Anolis sagrei: one gene and its partner. The protein of the gene in region 2 interacts with the protein of the main gene of each other region in a biochemical or structural test. Links are inferred from orthologs where the notes say so. Each region holds a gene or a part of one and is shown on either strand. Other genes may lie near its edges.

Region 1 (7,061 bases), on a different chromosome or scaffold from region 2:
GGGTCAGGAGAACAAGCCCTATGAGGAGCGGCTTAAAGAGCTGGGCACGTTTAGTCTGAAGAAGAGAGGGCTGAGAAGAGACATGATAAAGGTAAAGGTAGTCCCCTGACAATAAGTCCAGTCATGTCTGACTCTGGGGTGTGGTGCTCATCTCCATTTCTAAGCCGAAGAGCCAGCGTTGTCCGTAGACACCTCCAAGGTCATGTGGCCAGCATGACTGCATGGAGCGCTGTTACCTTCCCGCCGGAGCGGTACCTATTGATCTACTCACATTTGCATGTTTTCGAACTGCTAGGTTGGCAGAAGCTAGGGCTGACAGCGGAAGCTCACGCCGCTCCCCGGAATCGAACCTGCGACCTTTCGATCAACAAGCTCAGCAGCTCAGTGCTTTAACCCACTGCGCCACTGGGGGCTCCGACATGATAGCCATGTATAAATATGTGAGAGGAAGTCATAGAGAGGAGGGAGCAAGCTTGTTTTCTGCTGCCCTGGAGACCAGGACGCAGAACAATGGCTTCAAACGACAAGAGATTCCATCTGAACATTAGGAAGAACTTCCTGACTGTGCGAGTAGTTCGGCATTGGAACTCTCTGCCCAGGAGAGTGGTGGAGGCTGCTTCTTTGGAGGCTTTAAGTAGAGGCTGGATGGCCATCTGTCGGGGTGGTTTGTATGCCATTTCCCTGATTCTTGGCAGGGGATTGCACTGGATGTCCCACGAAGTCTAGGATTCTAAGTCACACTCTCTCTGCCTCGTGGGAAAGGCAAAATGGCAAGGAAGAACCAGAGCTGGGTTCAGGTTCACCCAAGCGTTGAAGTAGGTCGGCTTTAGGACCGCGCGTTCCCGCCTTCGCCCTTTTGCCCATAGAAAGGCACAGAGGAGGCGGCAGGGAGAAGCCGAGGAAATCCGACCCTCCTCCTCCTCCGCCCCAAATCACGCGGGAAGGAAGGGAGCTCCCCTCCCCCTCTTTCTCCTTCGTGTGGAGAAGGAAGAAACCCGCGCAAAGCCTTCGCAGGCTCTCGGCCAAAGCGTGACGAGATGTAAACGTCGGAGGGAAGGCAGAACGGAGAACGGAGGAGAATTAAGGCAGCTTGACACCACTTTAACTGCACCCCACGACCCCGTTTATGGGGAAAGCAAGTCTCTGGGAGTTCCGCGGGAACAGAGAGTCATACTTAACCCCCCACCCCACCCCCTTACAAAGGTTAGCTCAGGAAGATGACGCTGGAGAAGGGCTTCCAGGGGAAAAGATGCGCGCATATTTACAGCCCATGACCAGACGGTTGCAAAGCTCTTCTTCCTCCCTCCCTCCTTCCTTTTCCCTGCGTGGAAGGAAGGAAGCTCTGACGGAGGAGGGAAGGAGCGTCACGTGGAAGTCAGCCCATCGCAGGCCCTTCGCTCCCTCCTCCCTCCGGATCCGCGGCAGCACCATTCCCGGAAGAAGGCAGGGATCCCGGGATCCAGAAATGCGCCCCAAATCCGAAAATTTTCCCCATTGGAGGCTGAGACAGTGGCACCTTTGCAGTCTGAAGCATCAGAGTGAATTCTTGTTTAAACTTGGGTCCCTTATGTTATATTGTATTATACATACATACATATACACGTACACACTTGAATTCTGGTTTAAACTTGGGTCCTATAGATATATAGATCTAGATCTATATATAAATAAAAATGTAATGTTCGTTTGTGGGATTAACAGAACTCAAAAACCACTGGATGAATTGACACCAAATTTGGCCACAAGACACCTACTAACTCAAGGAGTGACCATCATTAAAAAAAAAATGATTTTGTCATTTGTGAGTTGTAGTTGCTGAGATTTATAGTTCTCCAACAACCAAAGAGCATTCTGAACTCCACCAACGATGGAATTGTGGCATACAGTTCTCCCATGATCAACAGAAAATACTGAAAGGGTTTGGGAGGCAGTGTCCTTTGGTTTTGGAGTTGTAGTTCATCTACATCCAGAGATCACTGTGCAGTCAAACAGTGATGGATCTAGACCAAACTCTACCCAAATATTCCATATGCCCAAATGTTAACACTGGTGGAGTTTGGGGAAAATACAATCTTGACATTTGGGAGTGGTAGTTGCTGGGATTTATAGTTCACCTACAATCACATTGCCACCAAATTTAGCCAGAAGATTCCTATTAACCCAAGGAGTGACCACCACTCAAAAAAAATTTCTCATTTAGGCGTTGTAGTTTATGGGATTTATAGTTCACCTACAATCAAAGAGTATTCTGAACTCCACCAATGATGGAATTGAACCAAACGATATGCAGGACACCCATGACCAACAGAAAACACTAGAAGGGTTTGGTTGACATTGGCCTTGAGTTTGGGAGTTGTACAACCAGAGAGCACTGTGGACTCAAACAATGATGGATCTGGACCAAACTTGGCACAAATATTCCATATGCCCAAATATGAACACCTGAGTTTGGGGGATTTATACACTTGGGAGTTGTAGTTACTGGGATTTATAGTTCACCTACAATCAAAGAGCATTCTGAACCCCACGAATGCTGGCAAACTTCCCACACAGAACTCCCATGAGCAGCAGAAGATACTTAAGGCCATCTAATCCAACTCCCTTCACCAGCGCAAGAAAACGTAATCAAAGCCCTCCTGACAAAGGGCCATCCAGCCATAGATATAGATATATATGATCCACACACAGAGAGAGATATAGATTTGAAAGCGATTCCACCAAAAAAGACAATTATATGTAGCATGTTCCACATTAGGCAAACCAGACAATCTCCACATCAACACTCACAAAGAAATAGCAAGAAATACTGTTTACCCACAAGCATAAAGACATTACATATATTAGAAACCAACACTTTCTCGTTACTTTATTTTCCAGATCACCAGACTGGGCCACAGCAACGTGTGGTAGGGGACGGCTTTTAGATATATAAAAGTCCCTTATATTATAAACAAGAATTCTAGAATATTATAATATAATAAATGGGATCCAAGTTTAAACAAGAATATAATATAATATATATGACCCAAATTTAAACAAGAATTCATATATATATGAATTCTTGTTTAAACTTGGATCCCATTTATTATATATTATATTCTTGAATTGTTATTTAAACTTGAGTCCCTTATATTTTATATTATATTCTTGAATTCTTGTTTAAACTTGGGTCCCAGATATTACATTACATTATGTTATATTCTTGAATTCTTGTTTAAACTTGAGTCCCTTATATGATATTATATTAATTATATTATTGAATTCTTGTTTAAACTTGGGTCCCTTATATTCCTGAATTCTTGTTTAAACTTAGGTTCCTTATATTGTATTCTTGAATTCTTCTTTAAACTTGAGTCCCTTATATTATATTTATTATATTCTTGAATTCTTCTTTAAACTTGGGTCCCTTATATTCTTGAATTCTTCTTTAAAGTTAAGCCCCTTATATTATATTAATTATATTCTTGAATTCTTGTTTAAACTTGGGTCCCAAACACACACGCACACACGATCCAAGTTTAAACAAGAATATATATGAAAAATAGGTGGCAAGGGGCAGTTCAAAATGGTCCCAGTCATTTTGTGAGTTTGTAAATCCATTTGCGGAATAATAGTCACTTGCCTCTCTTTGGAACACAAAGTGGATCCTTCCACCTCCCCCCCCCCCCACACCTCCGTTCACTACTTGGTATCTCCCTAGTTATGTTACAACACGCCCCCCTCCTCCTCCTGCCCTGGCGCGTGTGCGCATGCGCGCGCCTCCTCCCCCTCCGCCTCCTCCCTCCCTCCCTCCTTCCCTGCCAACCCCGCCGGAGCTCCTTAAGCGGGTAACCCGATATTCAAAAACAATACGTCATCCCACAATGCCCCGCTGCAAACGGCAGCCTAGGCATTACCTCATCCCACAATGCCCCGCGAGCGACGAAAGAAAGGGCGGGGCTCGTCGGCGGAGAAGCTTCTAGCCGGGTGGGGTGGCCATGGAGATGGGCGCCTTTGCTTTGCAAACGGGCACAGGCCGGCGGCAGGCCTGGCCCCGCCCCCTTCCCCTCCGCGAGGCGGCGGCGGCAGCCAATGGGAAGGCCGCGGGGTGACATCATGGGCTATTTTTAGAGAGTTACTGCTCGCTGATAAGTGTTGGGACTCCACGCTGAGAAAGAGCTCAGAGTTGAAGCAAGCGCGAGCGCAAGCGGCACGAGAGGGAGGAAGAGCCGGAGCATTCGCCGCCGCCGCCGCCACCGCCACACGGTTCCCCTCAGAAGGCGAAGAGGAGAAGGAGCCTGCCTCGCTTTTGGGACGCTCTGTGAGGGGAAGACGACGCCGAGCGGCCCTTCAGGGGGAAAGGCGGCCAAGGGAGAACCCTGAACTTCTTGGGGTGCCCTCCATTTTATATCAGCAGGGATTGAGAGGAGAGGACGCGTCGTGGCGCCTCATTCTTTCCCGACTGGACTCTGGGAACGAGACTTTTCCTCTCCTTCTCCCGTGTGCTTCCTAGAAAACTTCATTTCTCCCCCTGACAGCCGCTCCTGAGAAAGAAGGGAGGCTTCAACAAGTGTGTGTTTGAACAACTCGGCGCAGGACACTCCCACCAGGGACGGAGGGGGTGGGGAGCCTCCATACTTTGAGAAAAAGTAAGTTGTGCTGGACTTCCACTCTCTTTGCGCCTGGATTTCGTACTCTTGGAGATACCAGCCTCTCTTTACTCCCCAGAGGGAAGGGACTGACAAGCCAATGCCTTGTGGCGAAAAAGTAAGACTGTAATCATTGATTCTTCGAGTTCTCCCAGAATAATATTTTGTTGTTGTTGACTTATTTGGTGGCCAGCACTGACTCTGATAAACTTTTTTTTTCAAAAAGTGACTGAATTCGCTGCTTAGTTTCTCAACTGGAGGGGAGCAAACTTGTGGACTGTGTTCTATGACTGCAAAGATGGAACCTACATTTTACGACGATGCCATCAACGCGACCTTCGTCCAGCCTGAAAGTGGCACTTACGGATATAACAATCCCAAAGTCCTGAAGCAGAGCATGACGCTCAATCTGGCTGACCCGTCCAGCAACCTCAAGCCGCACCTGAGGAACAAGAACGCCGACCTGCTGACCTCTCCCGATGTGGGCCTCCTCAAGCTGGCTTCTCCTGAGCTTGAGAGGCTCATCATCCAGTCTGGCAACGGGCTGATCACCACCACTCCCACCCCGACCCAGTTCCTGTGTCCCAAAAATGTCACCGACGAACAAGAAGGTTTTGCGGAAGGCTTTGTCAGGGCTCTCGCAGAGCTGCACAATCAAAACACCATGCCAAGTGTTACCTCTGCTGCCCAGCCGGCCAACTCTGGCATGGCCCCAGTGTCTTCCATGGCTGGAAACAATGGCTTTGGTGCCAGCTTGCACAGCGAGCCTCCTGTCTACGCCAACCTCAGCAATTTCAACCCCAGCACCCTCAGCACGGCGCCTAACTACCCCGCCAGCAACCTGGGCTACCCTCCGCAACATCACCTGAACCCTCCCATGCCGGTGCAGCATCCCCGCCTCCAGGCTCTGAAAGAAGAGCCTCAGACTGTCCCAGAGATGCCTGGGGAGACTCCTCCCCTGTCACCGATTGACATGGAGTCCCAGGAGAGGATCAAGGCGGAGAGGAAGCGCATGAGAAACCGCATTGCCGCCTCCAAGTGCCGGAAAAGAAAGTTGGAGCGGATTGCCAGGTTAGAAGACAAAGTGAAAACTTTGAAAGCCCAGAACTCGGAACTTGCCTCCACAGCAAACATGCTGCGAGAGCAGGTTGCGCAGCTGAAACAGAAGGTCATGAATCACGTCAACAGTGGGTGCCAGCTCATGCTCACACAGCAGTTGCAAACTTTTTGAAAAGAGAGTGGGAAGCAAACTGCGTTGGGGTGAAAATTAAGCGAAAAGAAAGAGAGGTGGGAGTTGGGAAGCTCACCTGGGTTGTGGGGCAGGAAGACAAGCCGGAAAGGCATTGTTCCAGAGAGCGCTTCCACGACTCCCAACACCACTTCCAAAGCATGCATGGAGAGAAAGAGACTGGGTGCCTTTCTGTCTGAGGTGGTGGCATGTCAGTTGGAAGTACAGCTCTCCGAAGTGCTGTTTCTGCTCAGACAAGGCTACAGAAGCCTGGTGTTAGCTTTTTCTTTCTTTCTTTTTAACATTGACCAAGACCTGCATGGACCTAACATTCAATCATCATTCAGTATTAAAGGTTAAACTGCAGTAGATACTGTAGATTGCTTTCTCTTAGTACTCATTTTTTAAAAAAAAAAAGTGGGGAGGGAGTTTGTGGGAGGCTAATGACTGAAGCTGAACTATACTGCCTGCCTTAGAGTCCAGTTGTGTATGTACAGATACTCTTTTTTATTTTGTGACAGCTGATAAATATCAAGTAAAACTACTTCATGACTTTGTAAGTTATTTTTATGTTCATGTGGGTTCAAGCCCAGTATTGTTTGTAAATAAGAGGATTTTTTTTAGCAACCTTGAGTTTTTTTTCCATTTGTAATAAAGTATATAATTTTTTATGTTTTATTCTGAAGAAGAAATGAAGAAAGGGTAGGTCATATTTAAGAAAATAATACTTTGCCCACTTTCTTTGATTAGTGCCATTAAGGCTACAACACTATATACACTTACCTAGGTGTAAATCTCATTGAACAAAGTGGGGTTTACCTCCGAGTAGACACGTGTAACATTGCACTGTCAGGCATATGCAGAATCAACTTGTGGTTAGATGTTAAAACTTCACTAATGCTATAAGTGGGGGAGGGGGGATCGAGTTCTGTAAATTCCACACTGGGTTAGTATGTAACAGCAGTGTAATCCTTTTTTTAAAAAAAAAGAAGAAGAGAGTTCTGTACTCCTGTTATAATAAAGCTATTGGTCTTTAGAGTACTGTGTGTCCTCTGTCACTGGAATACAAGAGGATGTGTTAAATGAGCCCCCATGGTCTGTTTTACAAGCTACTAACATAGTTTTCACAGAGATGAAGAAAAGTGGGAAAAGAGGATGGGATTCCTGTGTATCCACGCCCCTTTGTGATGACTTCTATAAAATAT
Region 2 (7,474 bases):
ATTAGTAAGTCAAGGTATCACTGTATATTTGCAAGGCAAGCTATATTGCAAGACAGCTATTAAAAATGTGGGAAAATCCATATGTTTTGCTGTGGTACCAAATATAAGGAAAGGATGCTGGAGATGGCTCACTCAAGCTCTTTCGGTTGACAATGAGCGATAAGTAAGCCATCCCACCATCTGACTCAAAACTTTTACTGAACAAAGGTGGGTTAACAAGTTAGTAATTTTTCACGGAACCTCTGAAATAGGTCAATGAATAGGTACTAGTAGAGACAAAACTCCATCCAATGCCTGTGATTGAAGACTCTTTTAAATGAGTAGGCATAGATATTAAGGGTCACTTACCGAGGGCCCTTCCACACTGCCCAATATCCCAGAATATCAAGGCAGAAAATCCCACAATATCTGCTTTGAACACGCAGATAATGTGGGATTTTCTGCCTTGATATTCTGGAATATAGGACTGTGTGGAAGGGCCCCTACAGCAACCAGGAAGAATACCTATCTTTTGACCGTAGTCACTTATGTTGTTTGGTACCCAGAAGCAGTTGCCTTGTCAAATCCAAAAAAACACCACTGTTGCAGATGTACTGGTAACCTCTCTTTTGCAGAGTAGGGTTTCCCAGTGAAATGATTTCAGATTGGGGATAACACTCTTTGTAGATTGCATCTCTACAGAATGAACAAAATACAGGTTGAGTATCCCTGATTCAAACTGGTAAGGACCATTAGGGTTTTGGATTTCAGATTTTGGAATATTTGTATGTGCATAATGAGATATCTTGGAGATGAGGCCCAAGCCCAAACATGAAATCCACTTGTGCTTCATACACACCTTATACACACAGCCTATAAAATAATGTAATAATTTTATGTGTACACAAAAGGTCACTATCGTGTACAACTGTGGAGTATTTGAGAATTAAAAACACTCAACCTGTACTTTCCTCATTAGATTCTGAGTTCTGGCAGTGGCACTTGGGAAGAGCAAATAATGGCAATATTTTCCAGGCTAATCAAAAGATTAATACATTTTCACTTTCACAATAGCTTACACCAAATAAAACTTATTAAAGTTACAAAAACATTTAAAGATAATTTAAAATGATATGGAGCTCATGGTTTATATTTTAAGAGCCACTGGTATGGCTGTTTTCTGTTCACTAGGTAATATAAATGTATGTTTGAAGGTTTTTTTACCTTTCTTCTCCCATATAAAATTTGGCCCACTCTTATTAATCATTGCACCCATTCATTAGAAGACAAAAATGGTGCACAGATTAATAAGATGTGGGACATATTTGATATGCGGAGAGGAAGAACAAGGAAAAGGGAGGGTGACTGTGTAGAGATGATAGTGAAATGCTAAAACGGGACAGAGAAAAGACAGGACTGCATAACAGTTCAGGAGTATGTGTTGCTGAATCACTGAGTTGCTGTGAATTTTTTTGTGCTGTATGGCCATGTTCCAGAAGCATTCTCTCCTGACGTTTCACCTGCATCTATGGCAGGCATCCTCACAGGTTTGTTCAGAGGTCTGTGGGGATTCTAGTTGTGTTGACAACTAGAGGGAGAAGTCTGTGGGAATTCTCAGATTAAATGTGTGTGTGTGTGGAAAATCCAGTGTGAACTCTTGTTTATTTGAGGCAAGTGTGAATGTTGCAATTAGCCAGCTTGATTAACAACTGAGTAGCCTTACAGTGGCAAAGCCTGGCTATTGTTGCCTGGGGGCACCTTTTGCTAAACCAACCTGGACACTGAATACTATTTGAAAACACAGAAATGCTGGACCACTTTGACAACCAATATGTCAGACTACATAGAGAAGTCATCAAAATCCACAAGCATGTGGACAATTTCAACAAAAAGGAGAGAACCATGAAAATAAATAAAATCTGATTACCAGTATTAAAAAAAAACACCAGAATCAAGACAGCAAATAAAGAACACCATTCAGGGCTCTTCCACACATCCCTATATCCCAGAATATCAAGGCAGAAAATCTCACATTTTCTGCTTTGAACTAGAATATATGGCAGTGTAGACTCAGATAGCCCAGTTCAAAGTAGATATTGTGGGATTTTCTGCCTTGATATTCTGGGATATAGGAATGTGTGGAAGGGCTCTCAGAAGCAGGGGAACTCTAGTCAGCAATCAAGTGCCAGTGGGTTGTTGTAGGATTTTCCGGGCTATATGGCCAAGTTCTAGAGGCATTTTCCCCTGACGTTTCGCATGCATCTATGGCAAGCATCCTCAGAGGTAGTGAGGTCTCACTTCGACAAAACAACCAAGTGCAGTTTACATCTCTCAAACAAAGCACGTCCCCAGGCAGAAACCGCCAGGCTTTGCAGCTGCAGGGCTTTTCAGTTGCTAATCAAGCTGGCCAATTGCAATAATCACACTTGCCTCAAACAGACAAACAGTTCTTTCCCCCACCCTGGACATTCCAATGACCCCACTTGCCTCATTCCCACAGACCTCAAAACCCCGAGGATGCCTGCCATAGATGCAGGAGAAACGTCAGAAGAGAATGCTACTGGAACATGGCCATACAGCACAATAAAACCCACAGCAACCCAGTACAGGAGTACAGGAGTATTTTGCTCGACAGTTACAAGCTTGGTAGATGAAGGGAATGATGTGAAGGCAGCTGATCTTGATTTCAGTAAGGTCCGCTTCCTCACACATGGACGTGCACTGCTTCCTCAGCCATGAGATAAACACAGGTCCGCTATCCCTTTCCCTCAGGCGGGGCCTCCAGCCTGCCTGCGCCTCTCGCCAGACCCAGCCTCCCTCTCTCGCCCCCCTCCTCCTCCTTCTCCCACCCCGAGGCCGGCCAAGGCCGCGCTGACCAAGCCTTCCCGCCCCTCCAGGCTGGCTCACCCGGCAGAGAGCACCCGAGGCGGGTGGCGGCCGGCGCCGGACTGCGGCGCTCCTCCTTCTCCTCCTCCTCCCCGGGCGACTAAGCAGGGACTGAGGCATAGGCGGGATGGGCACCGCGGCGGCGCTTCCGGTCTGCGGTGGTTGGTGGGCCGCTTCCGCATCCGCCGCTCGGGGTGACCAGGCGGAGTGACGTCACCGGCGCCGCACCTGCGCGTGGCAGCCCCTCCCCCTGGCTGCCTGGGGGGGGGGCAGTGCTTGGCGCGCCTTCCAGCCCCTTCCGGTTGGGTTCAGACTGAACGCGGCCTTGGCGTCCCCCTTGAAGATGGGAGACTGTGATTTGTCCAAGGGCGCCGAATGGGTTGCTATGGCCACGCAGCGCGCGCTTCTCGAGGGGGCTTCACGCTATACCCCACTCATTGGCGCTGAGAGAGGAGGCCGCCCACCTGTCACCCTGTCGCTGCTGCTGCCTCCTCCTGCAGAATTCTGGGAGTTGTAGTTGAGTGAGGCCCAGGGCCTCTCTTGGCTGAGCCTTTCAAAGGCCTCTCCTCTAAACAACAAGTCCCAGAATTCCGCAGGAGGAGGAGGCAGCCACATGGCTTGCAGACTCCTTGCCTCTTCTTCTAGTGTGATACCTGCCTTCGTTTTCATAATCTGTTTGAAATATAATATTCTGCTTTAACATTTTATCTCATGCATTTGGCCCGCCCTTTGTGTTTGATTTTATTATGTTATTTTGCACTGTTTATTTTATTTTGTTATATTATGTATTTTGTTGTGATGTATTTTTCTGTTCGCAAAAGCCGGGTTGCAGCTAAACATCAAAAAAACCAAGATTATGGCAACAAGAATGATTGACAACTGGAAAATAGAGGGAGAAAATGTGGAGGCCGTGACAGACTTTGTATTTCTAGGTGCAAAGATTACTGCAGATGCAGACTGTGGCCAGGAAATCAGAAGACGCTTACTTCTTGGGCGGAGAGCAATGTCCAGTCTCGATAAAATAGTAAAGAGCAGAGACATCAGACTGGCAACAAAGATCCGCCTAGTCAAAGCCATGGTATTCCCTGTAGTCACCTACGGATGTGAGAGCTGGACCTTAGGGAAGGCTGAGCGAAGGAAGATAGATGCCTTTGAGCTGTGGTGCTGGAGGAAAGTGCTGAGAGTGCCTTGGACTGCGAGAAGATCCAAACAGTCCATCCTCCAGGAAATAAAGCCCGGCTGCTCACTGGAGGGAAGGATACTAGAGACAAAGTGGAAGTATTTTGGCCACATCATGAGAAGACAGCAAAGCCTAGAGAAGACAATTATGCTGGGGAAAGTGGAAGGTAAAAGGAAGAGGGGCCGACCAAGGGCAAGATGGATGGATGGCATCCTTGAAGTGACTGGACTGACCTTGAAGGAGCTGGGGGTGGTGACGGCCGACAGGGAGCTCTGGCATGGGCTGGTCCATGAGGTCACAAAGAGTCGGAGACGACTGAACGAATGAACAACAACATTTTTCTGTTGTTTTTGTGTCTAATTATGCTGTGTTATTTTTGGGCTTGGCCTCATGTTAGCCGTCCCGAGTCCCCTTTGGGGAGATGGTGGCGGGTTATAAATAAAGTTTATTATGATTTGATTATGATTATTATTATTAGAAACACAAGATGAGTCCACAGCAGACACTCTGCTGGCTGTTGTATTGGATCACACGTCAGACACTTCCCAAGTGACTAGGACTGTGTGATGTATTGGCGAATAATGCGTGCAGATCCCAGTAAGGTGGCCTTTTGCAGCTGGCAGATGGTAATTTTGTCAGCGCCAATTGTGTTTTAAGTGCAGGTCAAGGTCTTTAGGCACTGCACCCAGTGTGCCGATCACCACCGGGACCACCTTGACTGGCTTGTGCCAGAGTCTTTGCAGTTCGATCTTTAAATCCTTGTATCATGTCAGCTTTTCCAGTTGTTTCTCTTCAATACTTTCTCAGCCTCTAAGGGCAGACATTTCACCAGTCTTATCTTTTTTGCCAGCAGCCTTTTCTGTCAACCAACAGAACATACTGGAGGGCTTTGTGGGGGGATTGACTCTAGATTTCAGGAGTTATAGTTCACCCACATCCAGATGGCACCCTGAACCCAGCTGACAACAGACCTGGACCAAACTTGGCACACATACCCAACATGGTCAACTTTGAATACTGGGGGGTTTAGAATAGACTGACCCATGATTTCGGGAGTTGTAGTTCATCCACATCCAGCAAGCACTGTGAACCCAGCCAATGATGAATCCGAACCACACTTGCTACACATGCCCAATTTTAAATACATGGGGGGAAGTGGCTTTCAATGAATTTTGGGAGTTGCCATTCACCCACATCCGGAGAGCACTGTGAACCCAGTCCAATGACGGATCTGAATCAAACTTGGCACACAAATCCAACATACCCAACTTAGAATACCGGTGGGGTATGGAGCGGGGGTTAACCTTGACTTTTGGGAGTTGTAGTTCATCTGCATCCAGAGAGCATGGTGAACCCAGCTGAAAATGGATCTGGACCTCATGTGGCACACATACCCCACATGTTCAACTTTGAATAGTGGTGGGTTTTGGGGGAATTGACCTTGAATTTCAGGACTTGCAGTTTACCTGCATCCAGAGAGCACTGTGAACCCAACCAGCAACTGATCTGAACCAGCCTTGGCACACAGACTCAACATGCCCAACGTTGGGGGAAAATAACAGATGATAGTGGGACTTGCAGCTCACCCTGATCCATATGCATTTTCTAACGGGACCACTCATAACATCCAAAAACACACAATTACTTTTTCTAATGTTTATCCTTACCAGATTACATAGCCAAATTACATCACTGGGTACCTAAGATAGTATATAATATCCTGCTTTGCAATTCCCACGGAGGAATCTCTTGTATTACTTCAAGTCATTTCTGACATTATTTGTTGTGAACTGCTGTGAGTCACCTTCGGGCTGAGAACAGCGGTATATAAGTAAAGTAAATAAATAAAATAAATAAATATAGTGACTCTAAGGTAGGTCTTTATCGTGAGGTTATCTTAGCAAAATTTGTCCAGAGGGTGTTTGTATTTGCTTTTCTCTATTGAAGGGTTTCTCAAACTGTGCTTCCTCAGATGTTTTGGGTTTCAGCTCCCACAGTTCTAACAGCTTGTATGCTGGCTGGGATTTCTAGGAGCTGAAGTCCAAAACACCTGGAGGAGCACAGTTTGAGAAACACTGCTCTACTGAATCATTAACCTGATCCAGCACAATTTTGTTTCAAATGTGAAGTCTGTGTTTGTATTCCAGCATACAAATGAACAGTAAAATCTGTAAATAAATGCAGAGACTCGATTTTCCAATCTTTTATTCAACTGAGCATAGTGACCACCTCAAGATAGGCCTATCAGCATTGTGGTTCATTGTACTGAGCAACCTTCAAGTGCCACAGATTTTTAAGAGTAAGAAACCTGGGATATATCTATGTTCCCCCTATAGTTGAAGTTACAACACCACTTTAACGGTCATGGGTCCATCCCACAGAATTCTGGGTCTTGTAATTTGATAAGGACTTAGAATTCACTGTCAGCTCTCTGTCCTACAGCGTAAGAATACAGTGGAGAGTTCCAAGTTCCTTACCAAACCACAGATTCCAGGATTCCATAGGGTGGAGCCATGGCTGTTAAAGTGGCATCAAACTACAGCAATTGTGCAATATGAGTACACTTTGCCAGTGGTAATGCCTTGCTGCTATATGTCTTCCTTTTGCTCATTCACTTTGCCGGCTTCACTCATGTGCTTCTCCCAACAAACTCCCACCAGTGATGGATCTGGACCAAGCATGGCACATTTATCAAACATGACCAACTTTGAATACTGACAGAGTTCTGGGGGAAATGACCCATGATTTTAGGAATTATCGTTCATTCATATTGTGGCACACATACCCAACATTTGTTGAGGGAAAAGGAACAAAGATCATGAGAGATTGTTGCCAATGAAAATGAGCAGCTTGGAGAAACATATGAAACAGGCCCGTAGCCAGGATTTTGTTTCGGGGGGGGGGGGGGGGGGGGCTAAAAAAATTTCAGGGGGGGCTGAGTTTCGGGGGGGGGGCTGAGTCTGAGTGAAAGAGGGTCTAGCCTAGCAAACCTTTTGTATCATTACCCCAATACTCCCATGCATATGGGATAGATTGAGTATGGTGATCAGATCATGATATGAATAAACATAACAGTTTAAATAATGCACCAGTAAGGCCTTTTCGCGAACCACCATGAGAATTTCGGGGGGGGGGCTGAAGCCCCCCGAGCCCCCCCCCCCCCCCCCCCGGCTACATGCCTGATATGAAAGCTTGGAGGTGCTTCCAAGTGAGACTTGAGGGTGCTAGGAGGCATGACAACAGACTTTGGGACCTACGGAAAGGTGGTATTATTCTGTCTACCTCACCAGCCCCAGTGAAGCTTCAGCAGAAGACAGGACCAGAAAGTCCTTTGCAGTGTGATTCATACTATTCTCAGGGAAAGATGTGTAATCTGAGTTTGTGTGACATCACAGAAGCCCAGGAAAAAGATTCTACAGGGGACTTTGG

Evidence for each region.
Region 1: of the proteins of MAPK8 (region 2) and JUN, one has a biochemical effect on the other in vitro, tested with the Homo sapiens proteins (76 studies listed by BioGRID and IntAct, with this or other methods). The link is inferred for Anolis sagrei from reciprocal best matches to the Homo sapiens genes MAPK8 and JUN.

The regions. Positions count from the first base shown.
Region 1 is NC_090024.1:169,476,939-169,483,999, forward strand, and holds the start of JUN (transcription factor Jun), read left to right. Parts: upstream 1-3,985; 5' UTR 3,986-4,914; coding exon 4,915-5,859; 3' UTR 5,860-7,061. UniProt on the Homo sapiens protein: Transcription factor that recognizes and binds to the AP-1 consensus motif 5'-TGA[GC]TCA-3'.
Region 2 is NC_090023.1:142,173,262-142,180,735, forward strand, and holds the start of MAPK8 (mitogen-activated protein kinase 8), read right to left. Parts: upstream 3,043-7,474; 5' UTR 2,887-3,042; intron 1-2,886. UniProt on the Homo sapiens protein: Serine/threonine-protein kinase involved in various processes such as cell proliferation, differentiation, migration, transformation and programmed cell death.